4 linked regions of the Saccharomyces cerevisiae S288C genome follow. The protein of the gene in region 1 interacts with the protein of each later gene in a biochemical or structural test. Each region holds a gene or a part of one and is shown on either strand. Other genes may lie near its edges. The genes, in order: CMK2, OPY1, GRX4 and PIR1.

What was found.
Region 2: the proteins of CMK2 (region 1) and OPY1 form a complex in vitro, tested with the Saccharomyces cerevisiae proteins (one large-scale study listed by BioGRID).
Region 3: the proteins of CMK2 (region 1) and GRX4 form a complex in vitro, tested with the Saccharomyces cerevisiae proteins (one large-scale study listed by BioGRID).
Region 4: the proteins of CMK2 (region 1) and PIR1 form a complex in vitro, tested with the Saccharomyces cerevisiae proteins (one large-scale study listed by BioGRID).

The regions. Positions count from the first base shown.
Region 1 is NC_001147.6:293,431-299,142, forward strand, and holds CMK2 (calmodulin-dependent protein kinase CMK2), read right to left. Parts: upstream 2,691-5,712; coding exon 1,347-2,690; downstream 1-1,346. Other genes in the region: ESC8 (Esc8p), read left to right, coding at 1-1,243; IRC10 (Irc10p), read left to right, coding at 3,648-5,408.
Region 2 is NC_001134.8:493,853-497,302, reverse strand, and holds OPY1 (Opy1p), read left to right. Parts: upstream 1-1,963; coding exon 1,964-2,950; downstream 2,951-3,450. Other genes in the region: CCZ1 (Ccz1p), read right to left, coding at 1-140; SHE3 (She3p), read left to right, coding at 434-1,711; ATG14 (Atg14p), read left to right, coding at 3,188-3,450. UniProt on the Saccharomyces cerevisiae protein: Binds phosphatidylinositol 4,5-bisphosphate (PtdIns(4,5)P2/PIP2) at the cell membrane. Negatively regulates the activity of phosphatidylinositol 4-phosphate 5-kinase MSS4.
Region 3 is NC_001137.3:536,855-542,029, forward strand, and holds GRX4 (monothiol glutaredoxin GRX4), read right to left. Parts: upstream 2,315-5,175; coding exon 1,580-2,314; downstream 1-1,579. Other genes in the region: RAD24 (Rad24p), read left to right, coding at 1-1,425; TMT1 (trans-aconitate 3-methyltransferase), read right to left, coding at 2,610-3,509; YER175W-A (uncharacterized protein), read left to right, coding at 3,796-3,960; ECM32 (RNA helicase), read left to right, coding at 4,836-5,175. UniProt on the Saccharomyces cerevisiae protein: Monothiol glutaredoxin involved in the biogenesis of iron-sulfur clusters. Binds one iron-sulfur cluster per dimer. The iron-sulfur cluster is bound between subunits, and is complexed by a bound glutathione and a cysteine residue from each subunit.
Region 4 is NC_001143.9:140,512-145,788, forward strand, and holds PIR1 (beta-1,3-glucan linked protein), read right to left. Parts: upstream 2,309-5,277; coding exon 1,283-2,308; downstream 1-1,282. Other genes in the region: mannose-ethanolamine phosphotransferase MCD4, read right to left, coding at 1-180; PIR3 (beta-1,3-glucan linked protein), read left to right, coding at 3,890-4,867. UniProt on the Saccharomyces cerevisiae protein: Component of the outer cell wall layer. Required for stability of the cell wall and for optimal growth. Required for resistance against several antifungal and cell wall-perturbing agents and for tolerance to heat shock.

The sequences.
Region 1 (5,712 bases):
AATAATATTATTGAGATGCATGATCGATTGGAATTGTAGCTACTCCGCACTTTTCCATAATGAAATTCAAAGGCTCACTCACTTGAAAGGCGATACAGGGTTCAACCATCAAACTTTTCACGCCAGCAGGTTTGCTATGTGCGGGGCCAATAACATATTAGATAGTTGTGAAGTTTTATGCTCTTTGATGAGTCAAAAGTTGGAAAATCGAAAGAAAAGGAAGCCCAGCGACAAAGGAAAACTGAGTAAGATCAATAGTCAGATGAAATTTCTAAAGGGTGTTCGGAAATCATTGAGCGAAAAAGTAACTACAGACAGATTACGAGCTGCAGTTAAAATAAATGAAGAATGGGGTGAATATTTTGCAAACGAATTTACACACACACCAATTGATGATCCCACCGTAGACGAAATTTACAAGTTAAGGACATCAGAGTTTATGATAGCGAGAATTCCACGAGTTGGAGATTTCTACTTACCACCATTCTGGATTGGCAACGAATGCAGTTCAGTAAACACTAGTTACAGTTTCAATGACATGTCAACTTATCTTAATTACTTCGTAAAATTCAAAGAGGAGGGTACAAAAATACTGCCTGCAAAAACCGCACAAAATGAAAACAAGTGTCAACTTAAACTTATATATAGGAACACTCCTGCATGTATCCGTAATTTACAGTTCAATGATGTTCACTTTGCCGAGGTGCCGCATTGGTTTGAAGTTGCAGGAGACTCGAATTCTTTGAGCAACTTCATTGAGTATTTGGAAAGTTTATCATCACTTACTGAAAATGACACCGATGATACAAAAAAGGGTATAGACAATCTAATTGAGTTTTTGAAAATTTTCAGTATATTCATAAATGAGACTATTCAGCGCATAACTGCTGCCCCTACAGGCAGTACTGAAGGACGTCATTTGCGAACAAGCTCTCAGAGAAGAACCACGGTGCATTACTCGAGTGATGTAAATGGTGACGTTTCCGAGGAAAGTGAAAATGAAGTTGACATTGACGTTAGCGATGACTATGATTCAGAATATCTGAGTGAGGAGAATACATTGACAAGAAAAGGTGAAGATAGGACAGATAAATCTTTTGGGAAAAGAGAATTACACAATGGCGCTAAAGATTGTGATAGGAATTGTGATGATATAGAGATCTTCTCAGAACCCGTTAGGCAACTACAAGATAATTCTCGGGAAAAAAGAAGCTTGAGGCGTAATGCCAGAAAAGGTCTATAGTTTGAATGCCATGAAGTGTAGCTGCTGGTTACATAAAATCGTCACTAGCTTTACACATTAAATATTATATACGAATTTATGTACACGAATTCAAGTCCGTAATTTAGTCTTCTGACTTCGACTCCCGATCATCATGCAGTGTTTTCTTGCTATCGTCTTCCTCTTCACCAGCCAAAACTTTATGTTTATTCTTTGTTGCAGCTTTGACAATTTGAACAAAGGCATCCTTTGTTAATGCAGACTTCAATTTCATTTGCTCTTCTGTTAGTTCTCCCCCTTTCTTCTGAGATTGCAGACGTAAATCATCCAACGAATGTGTGACGCCGTCCAGAAGACTTTCATTGAGGGAATTCTCTTCTATATCGTTATCGCCATCGTCCCCTAATGAATACATATTTCTTAACCTCTTAATTCTATTATTAAGCTTCACAATTTCAATAGCGTCACGTAATTTCTTACGCAAAGAAAACCCTTTCTTAACGTCTGGTAAAATATTACTAGTTTCAACTCTCTTTGAAGTAATCCATGGATCGTCCAGCAATTCCGTAGCAGTTGGTCTGTCAGCTGGATTCAATCTCAATGCCTTCAAGATGAAACGCTTAACATCAATAGATATGTTATCCCAATATGGCATATGGAAGGTTACCGGGTATCTCGAAGCTGTACATTCCTCCATGAATCCTTCAACGCTTTCGGCAATAAAAGGAGAATAACCGCACAGTAAAGTATATGTGATCACACCAATGGACCATATATCACAAGGCTTACCATGTCCATCTTGTGTGAGGACTTCTGGTGCCACATAACCCAACGATCCGGCTGCTTTGTATATCAAATCCTCCTCCCCCTTCAATTGTTTAGCTATACCGAAGTCCGCAATTACCAGAGGCGAATTTTCTGACTTATCAACATACAAAACGTTCTCAGGTTTCAAATCCCTATGAACAACATTCTTGGAATGCATATACTCCACGGCACCAAGAATCTGAACTATGATTTCAACAGCATCCACTTCTGTGAACTTCCCTCTAGACAGAATTCTATCAAATAATTCACCTCCTGTTGCCAGCTGAGTGACAATATAGAACTTATCCTTCGATTCAAACCAATCCTTGAATGACACAATGTTCGGATGACTCAATTTTTGAAGAATGGACAGCTCTTCGTACAGCATCTGTAATTGCACATTGTTTCCCTGCAATGCCTTCTTCAATAAGATCTTTATAGCAACATCTTCATTTGTGGACAACTTTCTGGCTTGTCTCACAACACCGAAGGAACCGGCACCCAGTGTTCGACCGAAAATATAATTAGTCCTGTTGACGTAAGATTCAGGTTGACCGCTTAATTTATTGATAAATTTTGCTACAGGGTGGCCGTTTAGACGCTCTGGATCTTGGACATCTACATGAAATTCAGAATTTATGACCTCTGACTCCTTGGGCATTTTTGGTGTCTATATTTATATTGGCGATGTGATAGAAGAAAAGGTGACGAAAAGATTGATCAACGAATTGAAGTTCTGCTGATCTTGAACAATATCGTATTGTTTTATATTATTAGGATTACCAAGAGAAACAGCAATGGGTGGCTTCAAAGGGGGCAGGGTTCTAAGATAAGCCTCAATTATTCTCTTCGCGCTGCGTTAAAGCGGGCGCTTCTCCGAAAGTACAGCACGTTCTGAAAAGCCTCATCAACATAGAATCCATATGATGCTCAACGACTGGAAGTAAAAACATGAAAATTGAAAAAGAATATGCCTGCAGGAGCATTGGGAAGTACATAGTGGCTTATAGACTGCCAAAAAAAATCAGTACGGAAGCAAATGAACCTTATGTTATCCAGGGAGCGGTGAGTAACTGAGTAAAAACATTAGGCAAATTTCTTCCAAAAAATCATTGACATTGCCTGTCAATTGAGTAAATGAATAAATAAATAAATGCAAAAAAGCCAACCTAACTCTCCTGCAATGATACAATGAGTACTGTATCAACGACCATTAGTAAGTATCATGAAGTGTTTTGTATATTTGGAAAAAACCAGGCTGCATTGCCCCAGTGGTGTATTTATATCTACTGCAGTATGTTCTATTCTGTGAAGTTCCTAAAAGACACCGAGGTTTCTATGGCCTAACCATATTGTTGTTCTAACGCCTTTTCTATGTAAGGGTCCTTATTGTTCAAAGCCCCACCGCTCCTTCGCGCGTTGTGCCTATCATTGTGTCAGTAAATGTTAGGATACGGGAAGTGTATATATTAATTGAGTGGACACAGAAAACGCTCTAGAAAGGAATATCTCACAAAGAACTGTAATATAAGCCTACATTATTGATTTTTTTAGTTCTCTTGCCCTTATATTACCGTAAGTCTGCGGTATAATCACCTGGCCTAGTGCTTTTTCAATCATGTTCATTGAATACTCTAGATTACCAGGCTTCGAAAGCATCAATATATCATTTTCTAGAGGCATGCTAAGATTGGCTAAATTTACTAATTTCGCTACATACAAACAAAAATTAGAGTACTTCAGGCTGTTGGCAGGTTCAAACAAATACATCCAACGAATCAGCGTTGCTGACTTTGAGAGACATCCAGATGAAATCAATTATATTTACATTATACTAATATCCATTCTCCAAATGGAAGAGTGTATGCCAGTCCTAGTTCTATGTCCAACTGTTTATTGGGTACGATTCCACTGGCCTGGAAAATGTTCCGTGAACAGTTTGAACTTTACGAATGAAACGTTAAAAAGCGCTTTCCATGCTGTCTTCACTCCCTATTTTGCACTAATGAAAAAAGTTCTTGGAAGGATTAAAAACAACATGTTGCTATTTGCAGAACCTCATGCAAATTTAAATAATTTGTTTGTCAAGCATTTCCACGATCTCATATATAAGAGCGTAAAGGATGAAAAAACCGGCGAGGCAATTCTGTATTTGAGAACTAACGTTAATGTTCCAAATGTTTTTATTGACGATAAAAGAGCAGTTTTTCATGGTGACGGTATGAAAATTGGAAAATTTACCGGCAAATTTTTATGCTTTTCCTTCAAACGAACAATAAGATGGTCAAAATTAGATTCAGTGGATTCTTTTGCGGTTACGACAGTAAATTATAGAGTATCTGTAAATTGGGAAAAGACACCAAGAAAGACTTTCCTTTCTCTAGACAGTGACACCAAAAATTTACACTATATATCGAAAAAGATATTGAATAAAAAGGGAAAGAACGCCACTACATCAAAAACAACAAAAAGTTCATGCACAAGTGAGAACGTTTGCGATGATAAAACATTCTCCGTCGAATTCCCACTTACAACGTCAGCAAAAACTGAATATTTGTTGAGAAGTAATTTTTCTTTAGAAAAAATTAATGAAAGCAACAATCCTACCCTTCAAGAACTTACTTTAAACCGTACACATCGCTTATACCGATCAAATTTTCGCAATGAACAAAGCACCACACAGAGGAAGTTTGAAAAAATCGGTAGAACTGTCTCTACTGATTCAGGCAATAAACTGCTTACGTTTCCGGAACAAAAGGCCACAAGAGATAGTAACCCCTTCTCAATCGAATTGACACATGCAACAGTAATTTCCAGCGACGAAAGTGCCTTAAAAGACACTACTAATCAAGCGATAGCCGAAATGCAACGTATAACTCCTGCTATTGCAAAGACAATCTCGAGAAGAACAGCAAATTGGGTCTGCTCAAACCCAGCTCCTGATCCGTATGGGGAACCTTCAACGTGGTCCAGAATTTTGACCCCTAATTTGAAAATAATATCGGAATCATCACCATATTATCCAGTCCATCTAGCTTCACCAAATTCTACCTTTAGTAGAGATCAAAGTGTAAGAAGTGTTGTCATGAGGAGAAGTTCTGTATGTGTTGAAAAACAAAATAGTTTCTTCAGAAATTACGAACATTTCAAAAATATATTGTCGAGAAGAACTATTAAGGTTAAGACATCATGTCCTAGGCTGAGCGTTGACGTAAGTGACAACAAAAGAGAAAATTTATCACAAGAACACCTCATTTTACCGAACAAATCTAGAGAAAAAGTCAACCGATTTAAAAATTGCCTACATAGAGTTGCAGAAGCGCTCAGAGCTGCCAAAGAAAACTGGGATCAGCACAATCCCAGGAACTCTATTCATTAAGTACTGTTAGTTTTTATTTTGGGACACCCTTGACATATAGTTTAGAACTTTACCTACTTTACCCTTGTAAAGTTTCTTTCCTTACTTAGCGAAACTGTACTGAATAAGTTGTGTAAGACAGAATCTTTGATTTTTTCCAGGAATAATCATCACTGCCTACTGCTACAACAGACTAGTTTACTCTCCCTTTTTTCCGTTTTTATTCCGACAAGGGGCATGAACATTCAATACTAAATTCTTTTGTGCTTTTTTTGGGAAGCCTTTTCTAATAAGTACCAGAAGACACATTTTTATGTGACACTAC
Region 2 (3,450 bases), on another chromosome or scaffold:
CCTATGATGGACAGTTTTTCGTTTAAAGAGGGTATTGAATCAGTAGTGCCAAAATAATGGAACAGCAGCAACTGCTTGAAAGTGTCATTTTCGTTGGTAGATCTTGATGGATCAAAAACCGTAATATAGTGTAGTCTCATATCCGTCTTTCATATATCAATTTAATAGTTGTACGATTTAGAATGTATTTTTGGTTCCACGTCAAATGAAACTATTTCCCTATTGCTACTACATATTATTGTCATCGCAATAAAATAGGCTAAATAGTTACCCGCTCGTTTCGTCTTTTGTTCGGGCGAGAGCTTCATTACTAACTACTATTGCATTTTGTTTATTGATTTGTTGCCATGAGTAGCAGCAGTCTGAAGGGGTTACCAAACGTTAGCTCGTCTATCAAGCACGCCAAGGTTCAACGACACTACTTTTGTGTAAGATGTCGGACCAGGATAATACCCAGACTTCTTCAAGCAAGTTGGCACCTCACCATAATATTTTTATGGCAAACTTGGAAAGTTCCCCCACAAAAGATAGAAATACCTCCAGCCAAAATGCCTCATCTTCGAGAGTCATTGAATCACTGCATGACCAGATTGATATGCTGACAAAAACAAATCTACAATTGACTACGCAATCTCAAAATTTATTGAGTAAATTGGAATTAGCACAATCCAAAGAATCAAAACTACTGGAAAATTTAAATCTGCTGAAGAACGAGAACGAAAATCTCAACTCGATATTTGAAAGAAAGAACAAGAAGCTAAAAGAGCTAGAGAAAGATTATAGCGAATTGAGTAACCGTTACAATGAACAAAAGGAGAAAATGGATCAATTGAGTAAATTGGCGAAAAATTCTAGTGCCATTGAACAATCTTGCTCTGAAAAATTGCAAAATATGGAAGTTAACTATAATTCATTATTGGAGTCACAAAATCTTTACAGAGACCACTATTCTGATGAAATTTCCAAATTAAATGAAAAAATCGGTTTGTTGGAGTTAGAGTTAAGTAATCAAAATTTAAATTATGGTTCAGATACTAGTTCAAATTCAGATATAGAATTGAATTTAAATAAATTCAATGACTCTGTGAAAGATTTGAAATCTCTGGAAACAGAAAAGGATTCAAAATTAAGCAAGATAATCACTCACTCTTTAGATGAGTTAAATCTACAAAGCTGGCTAAATCTGTACCAGACGAACGAAAATCTGATATCAACTTTTGCTGAAAAGATGGATTTGAAAGACGTCTTGAAAAGAAACGATGAGAAGATTAGTAATAAAGGCGCGGTAGTACAAACCTTGAAGAAGAATGTACAAACCCAGGTGGAAAGCAACAACGCTGACGCTTTGAGTAGCAATAATGCACAGGATATGCTTCCTATTAAGATGGTCAAATTAAGAAAGACGCCGAACACAAACGATTCATCCTCCAATGGTAATAGCAGTAACAATAAAAGAAGAAGTTTCTATACTGCGTCGCCTTTGCTGTCATCGGGTTCTATTCCAAAATCTGCATCCCCGGTTTTGCCTGGTGTTAAAAGAACTGCCTCAGTAAGAAAACCAAGCTCGAGCAGTAGTAAAACAAATGTAACGCATAATAACGATCCAAGTACATCTCCCACAATCTCAGTGCCTCCCGGTGTTACAAGAACTGTTTCCTCCACTCATAAGAAAAAGGGAAATAGTATGGTTGTTCACGGGGCCCAATCCTAGAATATGCCGACACAAGGGAGTATATATATAGGATTCATTTAGATAATAGAACAAAAGTAAATAGATGCCTCTAAGGTTTTATAGACACGAATCCATATTTTTCACTTTCGGTCACTCACAACGGTTTTTTCTCTACTATAATGTGGCTGAAATTAAACGAACAGGCCAAAATGTGGTACGCAATAGTAGCCAGTAGGTGAATTAACCATAAATAATTACGCTAATTTTGCCTTGGTAAATTTCATAAGACCAATGATAGCAGGTGCGACTGCTCCGTCAAGTCAGCATGAAATTTTGATCGCATCGAATCTCATCAAGAAGCCATCAACGTCTCAAAATAAAACGCCGACAGCTCAATCCAGTTCAGGTAACAATGGAGCTGCTGATGGTGCACCGCAGGGTTACCATCATCACCATCATCACCATCGTCATTTATGGTGGCCTCGGACAACAGACCATCAATATTGGTGTGTCTTGAGGAAAAACCAATTTGCCTATTACAAAACTCGGGATGAAAGAGAGGCTATAAGTGTCATACCGAGATTTGACATACTTAATTTTAAGATAAGCGAGCTCGATGGTATATTAACTGTTTATACTCCATCCAAGGATTTAATATTCAAATTTCCACGAGGGCAAAATGAGAAGGTTGGTATGGAACTGATGCATAATTGGAAAATTGCCCTTGAAAAATTCCTCTCTAGTCCTAGTGGCAACGAAAGTGTCACTACAGGTAGTGATTATGATGAAGAAGAGGATGATGATGATTTAATTGTAGTTGACGAAAAGGCGGGTCCTTCTAGCAGCAAGCATTCTTGCAGTTTGACGATGGATGAGCAACTGTCTCGTGAAGATAAAGAATTTTATAGGATGTTCGATCCAAGAAATGCAGAGCACCAGGTTTGTTCTGGGATTCTTTACACAAAAGTGAAAAAGAAGAAACTGTTCAATAGGGCTAAATGGCAAAAGTTCAATGTGGAATTGACTAATACTTCGTTCAATTTATACTCTTTCAAGACTGGGAAGTTAAAGAAAAGCATTAAATTGGATAAAATTATCGATTGTATTGAACTTGATAATAATTCGAAGATGAAAAATGACGACACTAATTTTGCGCTAATTACATTTGATGAAAGGTTATCTTTTAAAGCCGCTAACGATCAAGATATGGTGGATTGGATAATAAATTTCAAGAGTGGAATTTTGATAAGAAAAAAATTAAAGGCCGAAAATATATAAGCAATGCCAATGATGAATATGTATTGACTTTTTTTTTCTTTGTACTATTAAATAATACGTGTAATTGTTTTCCTTACGTCTAGTTAAAAAACTATTTATTTATTTGTATTTTAATGATAATAAGCACTTTTTTCCTCGCTGAAAATTAAGGGAAAGGACCAAATACAAAAGTGATTAGAAGGATAACGAGTAGAGAAAAAGGGAAGTAAAAGTTAAAAACTAGAATCCTAGTATGACATGCATTGCCCAATTTGCCACCATAGAGCGCATGTAGTGTACTGTGCACATTGTATCAATACGAGCCCAAGTCTGCTACTGAAGCTAAAACTAGATTTAATTTTATTAAAGGATGAGAATAAAGAACTTAACGGGAAAGTCGAACAAATATTAAACGAGGCCATGAACTATGACCAGTTAGATATCAAGAGGATGGAGAAAAAGAAAGATCCCCTGATGAATAGTCTCATGAAGTTAGATGTTTTACGAATGAAAAAGAATAA
Region 3 (5,175 bases), on another chromosome or scaffold:
ATCGAGGACCTTCCCAACGTCTTCCATATAGATACCAGACGTCGATTTCAACAACTTATATTACAGTGGCTATATAGTTCGGAGCCTCTATTACCTCCCCTTGTTATATGTATAACTGAATGTGAAATTCCAGAGAACGATAATAATTATCGCAAATTTGGTATTGATTATACATTTAGTGCAGAAACCATAATGAACAAAGAAATATTGATGCATCCAAGGTTGAAAAGAATTAAGTTTAATCCAATTAACAGCACTTTATTAAAAAAGCACTTGAAATTTATTTGTGTACAGAATATGAAAATGTTGAAGGAGAAAAATAAATGGAATAAAAGACAGGAAGTCATAGATTATATTGCGCAAGAGACTGGTGATATTAGGTCGGCCATTACGACCCTTCAATTTTGGGCGACATCAAGTGGAAGTTTGCCGATTTCAACCCGAGAATCCACCATATCATACTTTCATGCCATTGGGAAGGTGATACATGGTTCCCATAGCACGAATAACGATAACGAAATGATTAATAACCTCTTCGAAAATTCGAACAATTTGTTATCGAAAGAGGATTTCAAATTAGGAATATTAGAGAACTATAACACATTTAATAAAGGCGAATTCAGCATTTCTGATGCATCATCAATTGTGGATTGCCTGAGCGAGTGTGATAATATGAATGGTCTACCAGAATCCAATGAGTATGGTTTACGAGAAGTGCGCAAAACCTTTCGTAACATCAGTAAACAAGGCCATAATCATGGAACGGTTTATTTTCCAAGAGAATGGAAAGTAAGAAAATTACAAAATTCATTTAAAGTTCAAGCTGAAGATTGGTTAAATGTTAGTCTTTATAAGTACAACGCGGTACATTCTTTCAGGAATATAACTCTAGAATTTGGCTACTACGCACCTCTAATTAGAAAGTGTCAGAGTTATAAAAAAAAATACATTCTCTATTATTTGAAGAATCTTCCGAGTGGCTCCTCGGGGCCCAAACAAACCATGGACAAATTTAGTGATATAATGAAAGTTGAGAACGGAATCGACGTTGTGGATCGGATAGGCGGGCCTATCGAAGCACTATCTGTGGAGGATGGACTAGCACCATTGATGGATAATGATAGCAATAATTGTGACCATTTAGAGGATCAAAAAAAGGAAAGGGACAGAAGGCTTCGCATGTTGATTGACCAATATGAAAGAAATGTGATGATGGCTAACGACGATCTTGAAGACGAAGAAACTTCTTTTAATGATGACCCTATTGTCGATAGCGATAGCGATAACAGCAATAATATTGGCAATGAAACATTTGGTAGAAGCGACGAAGACGAGTCTCTATGTGAAATTCTGTCCCAGAGACAGCCGCGTAAAGCGCCAGTTATCAGTGAGTCCCTTTCAGATTCAGATCTGGAAATACTCTAACTTTTTACTCTTTAAATTTGACGAGAAAACCCCAGGAAATATTCCACACAAATCTATGCACATTACATTCTAGAATAAATTAATAAATAAAAATATATACATATATATTAATATGTATATATGTATGAATATAGTTTTCATTACAAAATAAGGCTTACTGTAGAGCATGTTGGAAATATTCAGGATCTTCTTCTATAGATTCCTTGATAATATCCAAACCTCCCTGGAACTCCCCATTGATATATAACTGAGGAAAAGTAGGCCAATCAGAAAACTTCTTCAAGCTTTGTCTAACGTTTTCGTCTCTTAATATATCAAAAAATCCGAACCTTATTTGGTGTTCTCTGAGGATACCAACTAACTGTCTAGAAAATCCGCATTTAGGTTCTGATGGGCTTCCTTTCATGAATAGCATCACAGGTGCAGCTTGTACTAGCTTCACCAGCCTAGCATTTATTTCTTCTTCAGTTTCGTCCTCTTCATCATCGGAAGACCCGCTGCTTTCCTCATCAGACGTAGATTTAGGACCCTTGGCATTGTTCGCTAGTGAGGCAGAAGCATTCGAAAGAATTTCTAAGCTTTTCACAAACTCCTTAGGATCTGCGGCTGATATTTCTTTTACAATAGTACCATTTTGAATGAAGACGAAGTATGGTACGGCTGCAATCTCAAAAAGGTCTGATATTTCTGGATGTTCGTCTGCATCTATTGATAAAAACCGGACATCCTCTTGCCTAACTTTTTCACTAACAGCTTCTAGCACCTGGCTCATAGTTTTGCAAGGATCAGCCCATTGAGCTTTAAAATATAAGACAATGAGTTTATTAGCAGCGTTTGTAGTGGTTAGTTGCGTAAATTGGTCCTGGCTTTTTATTTCAACCACAGTCATATTTATTGGAGGAAGAGCACAGAAATTTAGTTATATGTAAGTGGAAAAATGAAATATGCTCAGTACCCAAAGACAACAATGTTACCGGGAAAACGAATCAACGTTCCTGGCAGTAACAGATTAAAAAATGGTTCAACTGGTACAGTATTAATATGCTATTTAAGCTAAATATCAACCAGTCTTCAGATATGGTAACTTTTTCTAGGACATCTGTGAATACGTCGCGAGGCTTCACCAATTAAAACGCGCGCTCTTACTAAAATTTCACGAATATAATGCTTATTGGCTGAAATTTTCAGACCCTTTTGCCAAGTTTGTAAAAAGTATTCCAAACAACTTCAATTTTGGTGTTGGTGGAAAGTTCCGGCCTCCTCCTTAGTGACTCTTTAATAAACCAATCTGCTACATCTTCTTTATCTTTGTTCTTTGGATCCTGCTTCCACTGATGGTAAGCGCTCCAGGTTCTGACATAATCTGCAAACTCCACTAGGGTGACCTGCTTTCTGATTAGCAATGGCTTCTTTGTATGCTGGTGGAGTTTTACTTTGTCTCTCACATCTTCTGCACAAAAATATGAAACTTGTATATCATGGAAAAGTTCTGGGTCTAAGTGAGAGTCTTTCAGCATATTACGAAGGCGAGATCTCCCCGGTTGTTCCCAATAGGGTCCCAGTCCTTGCTTCCCGTAAGGAACTTCAATCATCAGATCATCAAATTCAGGGTAGTCCGGGAAAATTGGGTCCGCATAACCCCAAATAGCGATAGTACCATCTTTTCTCAAATTGGCATAAGCAGATCGCTGAAATTTTTCGAAATCGAACCAATGAGCACATTCTACTGCGGTAATCATATCAATTTTCTGTTTGTCTACTGAATCCGCGCCTAGGAATTTAAAATCATCACTTGAAGAAATCTTAAATGAAACGTTTTTGTATGTATCAGGACTTCCTTCCTTTATTACTTCTGCAGTCTTAATCATGGTAGCGGAGAGATCGCTTCCGATAATTTGTTCGAATGGTTTTAACTCCTGAGCCATTTGTAAAGTGGCAGTACCTGGTCCACAGCCAACATCTACGAGTAATTTCCTTTCTCCGTCGTGGTATTCATCAATCATCTTGTAAAAATCGGAGGGATAAGAAGGTCTTGAAGATGAATATCTTTCTGAGTTGAAATCAGAAGCAGAAAAGGTAGACATTATTATCACTTATTTTGTTATCTTGTTAGGAGATAATTCTCATAACAACTAATAAAGACTGCTACAACGAAAACATACTAAATTAGTTACATTCCTTTTCCTTTAAAAATGAAAATAAGGAAGATAAACTTTCGGAAAACCAGAAAAAAAAAGGATATTACTGTGAGTCATGAACATCAACACATAAGGTGTGATTCATTTATAGTAAACAACGGCAGAATTGCACCTAATTTTTCTGATTAGATAGGTTGATGGAACACCCTTTTTATTGGTCATTTAACAATGCATGAGACTACATAAAACATTTATCTGTTTTAGTCAAAACAAACGTGGTTGTAGAAATATTCTGCAAGAAAATTCGCGGATGATATTTGAGAATAAAATACTCATAATGATATTGAGGCAGGGTATATTTTTTAATATTAGCGTGAGCACCAAGATCAGTTTCTAAACATTAGCAAATTATTCTAGGTGGTATAAGACAGGCTAAAAATCTATAATTGAAATGTCAGCATCTTAAAATAAAACAGGAATTAATTTCTAAATACGCAATTGATCCAAGTGTTATGTCAATATGACTTACTGAGAACATACTCTGGCGGGCTTTACTTCCCGATCTCACATGTTGCCTTCAAGAAGCACAAAAAATTTGCAGCCCAAACACTGTCAGACACGGGAATCGATCTAACATCGTAAAATTTCAGCTGCTTCGATAAATTGGTACCCAAATATTGGAGAGACCTTTCACCACACCGACTTGAAATAGTAAACTCAAGCGCAATGATGAAAATTGGGTTGCAATGTATATTTGATATCACAAATACCAAAATTAGCCGCTTTTTTGGTACGCACTTATAATCGAAGAAATTGATTCTTTTTTAGATTTTTAACAAATGAGGTTATATGAGAATGAAGCAGGTCATAACAAGCGGAACCAAAGCTTACTCAAACAAGTTATCATTTCCAACTAAATCCTACTTGAACTGCACCTCTTAAAAGAAAGATAGAAATTCTATACAAGCGCTCTCACTCAATAAGAATTGTAAAATGAACATGACAGTGATGTGTCACACCTCGATCGGCAACGTGAATTGGTTACCGTCTATTTAGTAATCAGTACAGAGATATTGAAGATGCCGCTATTTTTTTTTTTTTATATTTCCGCCGTATTTTATTCCTGTGTAGTCGGGTAATGGATGCTATTTGTATGCGATTTTAGAGTCTTAAAATGCTCAAGAGTGATGTATAATGTAAGTTCATCATTTGAAGAATTCGAACAAAGTTGTGACAATATAAGGAGTTCCGCAGACTAAGAAGTACTACACGATGGATTTTCAGTGCAGAACGTGTAGCCAGGCTTATGATGCTGAGCAGATGATGAAGCATCTCTCAAGTACGAGGCATAAAACTGTATTCGACACTTCAAATGATGAAGATATTTGCTGTGAGGAATGTCAAGATAAAAATATACACCAACTTCAAATCATCAGGTTTGGGGGTGAAGACATGGTTTTACTTTGTAATTCGTGTTTTCGGAAAGAATATTCAGAAACGGAGCGTCCATCAACTAGCTACTCATTACAAAACGGCTCTATATTGAAATTTTGGGAAAAGTACGTGAAAGTCAGGGAATGTTGTTGTGATGAGTGTGGGGAAGAGTCTAACT
Region 4 (5,277 bases), on another chromosome or scaffold:
ACGTAAACCATCACCGACAATCAAAAACAATCTCTTTGCAGGAGGGGTTGGAGTACTTTGATATGGGCTCATACCATGAACGAGCGGTGAAATGAAATAGATATCAAAAATAGACCATAGGTAAAATAAATGAAATAAGACACCAACAGCCAGAAGCGTCGTTCTGGTTTTGTTCCACATTTTTTACAGATTTCAGTTGTATGAGTCCTAAGGCTCTTCAATGCTTTGGTCGAAGATGGGTTGTTGAATATATAGTAAAGAACGGTTCTTTTTACCTTTAAGGTTTTTTTTTCGCGTTTAATGACAGCGATGCAAAAAGAATACACATATTATTTACGTGGCATCAACATATACATATTCAACGATTAACATCCTGTAGTTTAGGACGAAAAGACACATATGAAATACATATCTATGAAAAGTACTGCACCATAATGATTCAACAAAATAAAATGAGTAACATTAACATCACGCTAGTACTGCTAGATTAAAAATAATAATGAAAACTCCGATACGGGGAGTCGAACCCCGGTCTCCACGGTGAAAGCGTGATGTGATAGCCGTTACACTATATCGGATTACAAAGGATAGAAAATTGAAACGTAATGGAATTACTCATGTAAATATTAAAGAACTCTTTTCATTTACATGGATAATTGGTGAATGTTGTGGGGAATGTTGGATTTCATTGCTGTTAAAGGCTATAATATTATGTGTACAGAATACACCGTGTGTGATAATATACTAGTAACACGTATACTACTAAATGGATGATAATATGCATGTCAATTTTCTTAAATTTTGACTGAGATAGTGACGAATATATGGCATTATAAGATGACAACAATTTGTTTCCTTCTCAAATGAGAAAGGGCTCCACGGTACACAAAGTAATGTCTGAGAAATATTCTGTCCCAGGAATAGTTGAAGTTGCATCCGATTTCAATCCCGTGAAGTCTTGGTACTATCAAATTCGTTGGTTTTTTTTCTGGGAAAACTCTATCAAAGTATAAGGTGCGCTTTTAACGTAATTTATAATGATTTTTTAGAAATAATAATGTATATAGTATAAAAAAATAAACAAACTTTAAAAAAAAGAGTGAAGAACTGTAAAGCTCATTTCATAGGTTTCAAAAGAAAGCTTTATGAAATGAAGAGACGAATTAAGAAGAAAAAAATGAACCGACCCAAATTATGCCCTTTGGAGACAGAAATGACTAATGTACAGAATATGCTACGATGACTTTATGTTTTCATGCGACTATGAGAGGTAAACTTATGATTAACAGTTGAGCAAATCGATAGCTTGTAGGTGGACTGCATTACATTGAGTTCCAATGTGCTCATCGTATAAGTTGTAGAAGTTTCCTGACAAACATTGGTAAAAAGTATCCTGGTCACCGATGGCCAAGTTACCTTCTGGGGTGATGGACCAACCAGCAGCATAGATAGCACCAGCTTGTGGTGGAGGACCATCGAATTGGAATTGTCTGTTGGCAACGATAGAACCAATTCTACCTTTACCGTCAGTCAGGATACCACCCTTTAAGTTCATTTCTAAAGTGCCACTGCTTTTACATGTTTCAGCAGTTACTGGGTCAGTGCCATTAGTAATTGGAGCTGGAGCTGGAGATGGTATAATGGTTGCAGAAGTTAAAGTTGTGGCTTGGATTTGGCCATCAGTGATTTGGGAGACTGGAGCAACAGTAGTATTGGTGGTGGCTTGGATTTGACCGTCACCAATTTGAGAAACAGCAGCAGCAGTGGTTTTAGTAGTGGCTTGGATTTGACCGTCACCAATTTGAGAGACAGCTGCAGCAGTTGTTTTGGTAGTGGCTTGGATTTGACCGTCACCAATTTGAGAGACAGCAGCAGCTTTGGTTTTAGTAGTGGCTTGAATTTGACCGTCACCAATTTGGGAGACGGCTGCAGCGGTAGTCTTAGCTGAGGTAGTCTTGGTGGTGGCTTGGATTTGGCCGTCACCAATTTGAGAGACAGCAGCAGCTTTGGTTTTAGTAGTGGCTTGGATTTGACCGTCACCAATTTGAGAAACAGCAGCAGCAGTGGTTTTGGTAGTGGCTTGGATTTGACCGTCACCAATTTGAGAGATAGCAGCGGCTCTCTTAGCCTTGGAGGAAGCAGTAGTGGCAATTGGTTCAACAGCAATACCGAAAGTAGAAGAGTAATCAGTTATACCACCCTTGTAAGTAGCTGATGGAGTTAAAGTGGACCACGGGTCCTTTGGAGCATAGGCAGCTAAAGATGTAGCAACTAAGGCGGAGGCAACTAATGATTTTTTGTATTGCATTTTCTAGAATATACTATTAGGGGAGTTTTGTAGTTTGTTTTTTTTTAATACCAGTGTATTAACTTTTGTTTTCTTGATGATATTATTCTTATACAGTAATAGAGAAGATAGGACAACTATGCATAAAGTAGTAAAGATCTTGCTCCTTTTTATATGTGAGAATTGTAGCATTACGATCTTCTTATTGAAAGAATAATTAGTATACCAGCGTTCTAATATTTGGGCAGGAGAGATTGACTGGACACAGTCTAAACCCTTTCAGATACATGGGCTAAATGATGGTCCATCGTATTATTAAAGCAAGTAATCGAGCTCCAAGAAGGATTTACGTCCGCCATCTCAATTTCTTTTATTAGCGTTGCTTCTATAATTGGCAGGACATAAAAAGGCTGCTAATAATAAATGATGATATAATTAAGAGCAAGCTGGCCGATCTCTCCATTTTTATGCGCTCCAAGCCACGTCATTTTCCGATGACAGGAATGCTTTGCATATTTCATATGAGATATACATTGACTCCTTTTCGACCAACCGTTTCATTAAAGGGGCAGCAGCTGTCAAAAAAGTAGCCGAAAAAGGCGTCTGGCTTCGAGGAATTATTACCTAAATAGGAAAGGCAGAATATATTAGAAAAAAAAGAAAAACCAAATGAGAAAAGTGCTGGTGCTAAATAAAACATTATTGAGGGGCCAAGAGGGGACAAAAGAAGATATAACTAGATCATTAAGTTTTCGCTCTAGTAACAGGAACAAAGATTGTGAGATACACTGTTATGCTAAGAGACGGTGCGATATTCTGTACGAAAATTATTTAACTATTAACTAAATGTATACCACTTCACGTGCCACCGAGTAGGTTTCTAAAATGTGCAACCATTTTAGGTATGTGCGCAGCTCTTTATTCTAAACGGGAGTCACTACATTACTATTATCGTGTTTTTGCCCATGTACTTTCTTATAATCTTAAGACAACAACGGGATGATAGGCGCATTCGGACTTTCATTGATGCAAATGTGTGAAAAATGCATCCAAAAGACAACTTTTGTACAGAATACAATTGCAAAAATACTTTACGGGCATAGATCGGTAAGGTCACCGGGAAGCTAGCGTAAGAGACCTTATTCGGAACCGAGCAACCATTTCCGAATGTAGTAGTAGTTGAAGGAGTAAATCGACCTTATTGTACACTACTTCCTTTAAATTTGATTTCTGGCCCCGCGCAATTTCTTGGCGGTTAAGCTGTATTTTTACCTCATCGGGAAAAGTTATTGCAAGTTAAAGGGGATCAAACGATTAGCAAACTAATTATAGATCAAAGGCCGAGGGCTTTCTAAATTTGGCATATTTCGCCGTCGACTGAAATAGAAGGGATAAATCATGCATCTCCAGGATTATCCCTACTCCATTCATTACAACATGCGCCAAATCAAGCCTATATAAGATTCTCGTCATTTAGCATGCTCTATTGATTTGTGTCTTGTTTTGTCTAACACTGAAACTGTAACCTAAGATTTCTTTAGATAATTATTACATTTACATCAATAAGAAATCTCATAAAACAAGTACTGTTTATAAGTAAAAATGCAATATAAAAAGCCATTAGTCGTCTCCGCTTTAGCTGCTACATCTTTAGCTGCCTATGCTCCAAAGGACCCGTGGTCCACTTTAACTCCATCAGCTACTTACAAGGGTGGTATAACAGATTACTCTTCGAGTTTCGGTATTGCTATTGAAGCCGTGGCTACCAGTGCTTCCTCCGTCGCCTCATCTAAAGCAAAGAGAGCCGCCTCTCAGATAGGTGATGGTCAAGTACAGGCTGCCACTACTACTGCTGCTGTTTCTAAGAAATCCACCGCTGCTGCTGTTTCTCAAATAACTGACGGTCAAGTTCAAGCTGCTAAGTCTACTGCCGCTGCTGTTTCCCAAATAACTGACGGTCAAGTTCAAGCTGCTAAGTCTACTGCCGCTGCCGTTTCTCAAATAACTGACGGTCAAGTTCAAGCTGCTAAGTCTACTGCCGCTGCCGTTTCTCAAATAACTGATGGTCAAGTTCAAGCTGCCAAGTCTACTGCTGCCGCTGCCTCTCAGATTTCTGACGGCCAAGTTCAGGCCACTACCTCTACTAAGGCTGCTGCATCCCAAATTACAGATGGGCAGATACAAGCATCTAAAACTACCAGTGGCGCTAGTCAAGTAAGTGATGGCCAAGTCCAGGCTACTGCTGAAGTGAAAGACGCTAACGATCCAGTCGATGTTGTTTCCTGTAATAACAATAGTACCTTGTCAATGAGTTTAAGCAAGGGTATCTTAACCGATAGGAAGGGTAGAATTGGCTCTATCGTTGCCAACAGACAGTTCCAATTCGATGGTCCTCCACCACAAGCTGGTGCTATCTATGCTGCTGGTTGGTCCATCACCCCAGAAGGTAACTTAGCTCTTGGTGACCAGGATACTTTTTACCAATGTTTGTCTGGTGACTTCTATAACTTGTATGATAAGCACATTGGTTCTCAGTGCCATGAAGTTTATTTGCAAGCTATAGATTTAATTGACTGTTGAACGATGCATCGATCAATCGGAGTCGTCCTCCTTTAACTTCACGAATTAGTTGCCACTCTCATTCCCCACACATAAACTTGTTTTATGGCATCCTTTTCATTTAGCATGTCTTTATTTCCAAACCTTTCCTCGTTCTTTGCATTCATTTAGCGTTTGCTCGAGAAAGCATCACGTTTTCACACATTATCGTTCGTCGCTATAATAAAAATAGTTATAGAATTTACTCAGATTTACATGTCGTACCTTTTTAATTGTAAAAAAAAAAATTTTATGATACATAATTACCTAAATATAATTCAGAATCAAACATACTTATAGCTATTTGTATGCTATTAGGTGGTCCTGCTATAAAAATATCGTTTATAATACTTTATATTTTATCTTTCAACTTAGTCGCAATTGCAGAAGCT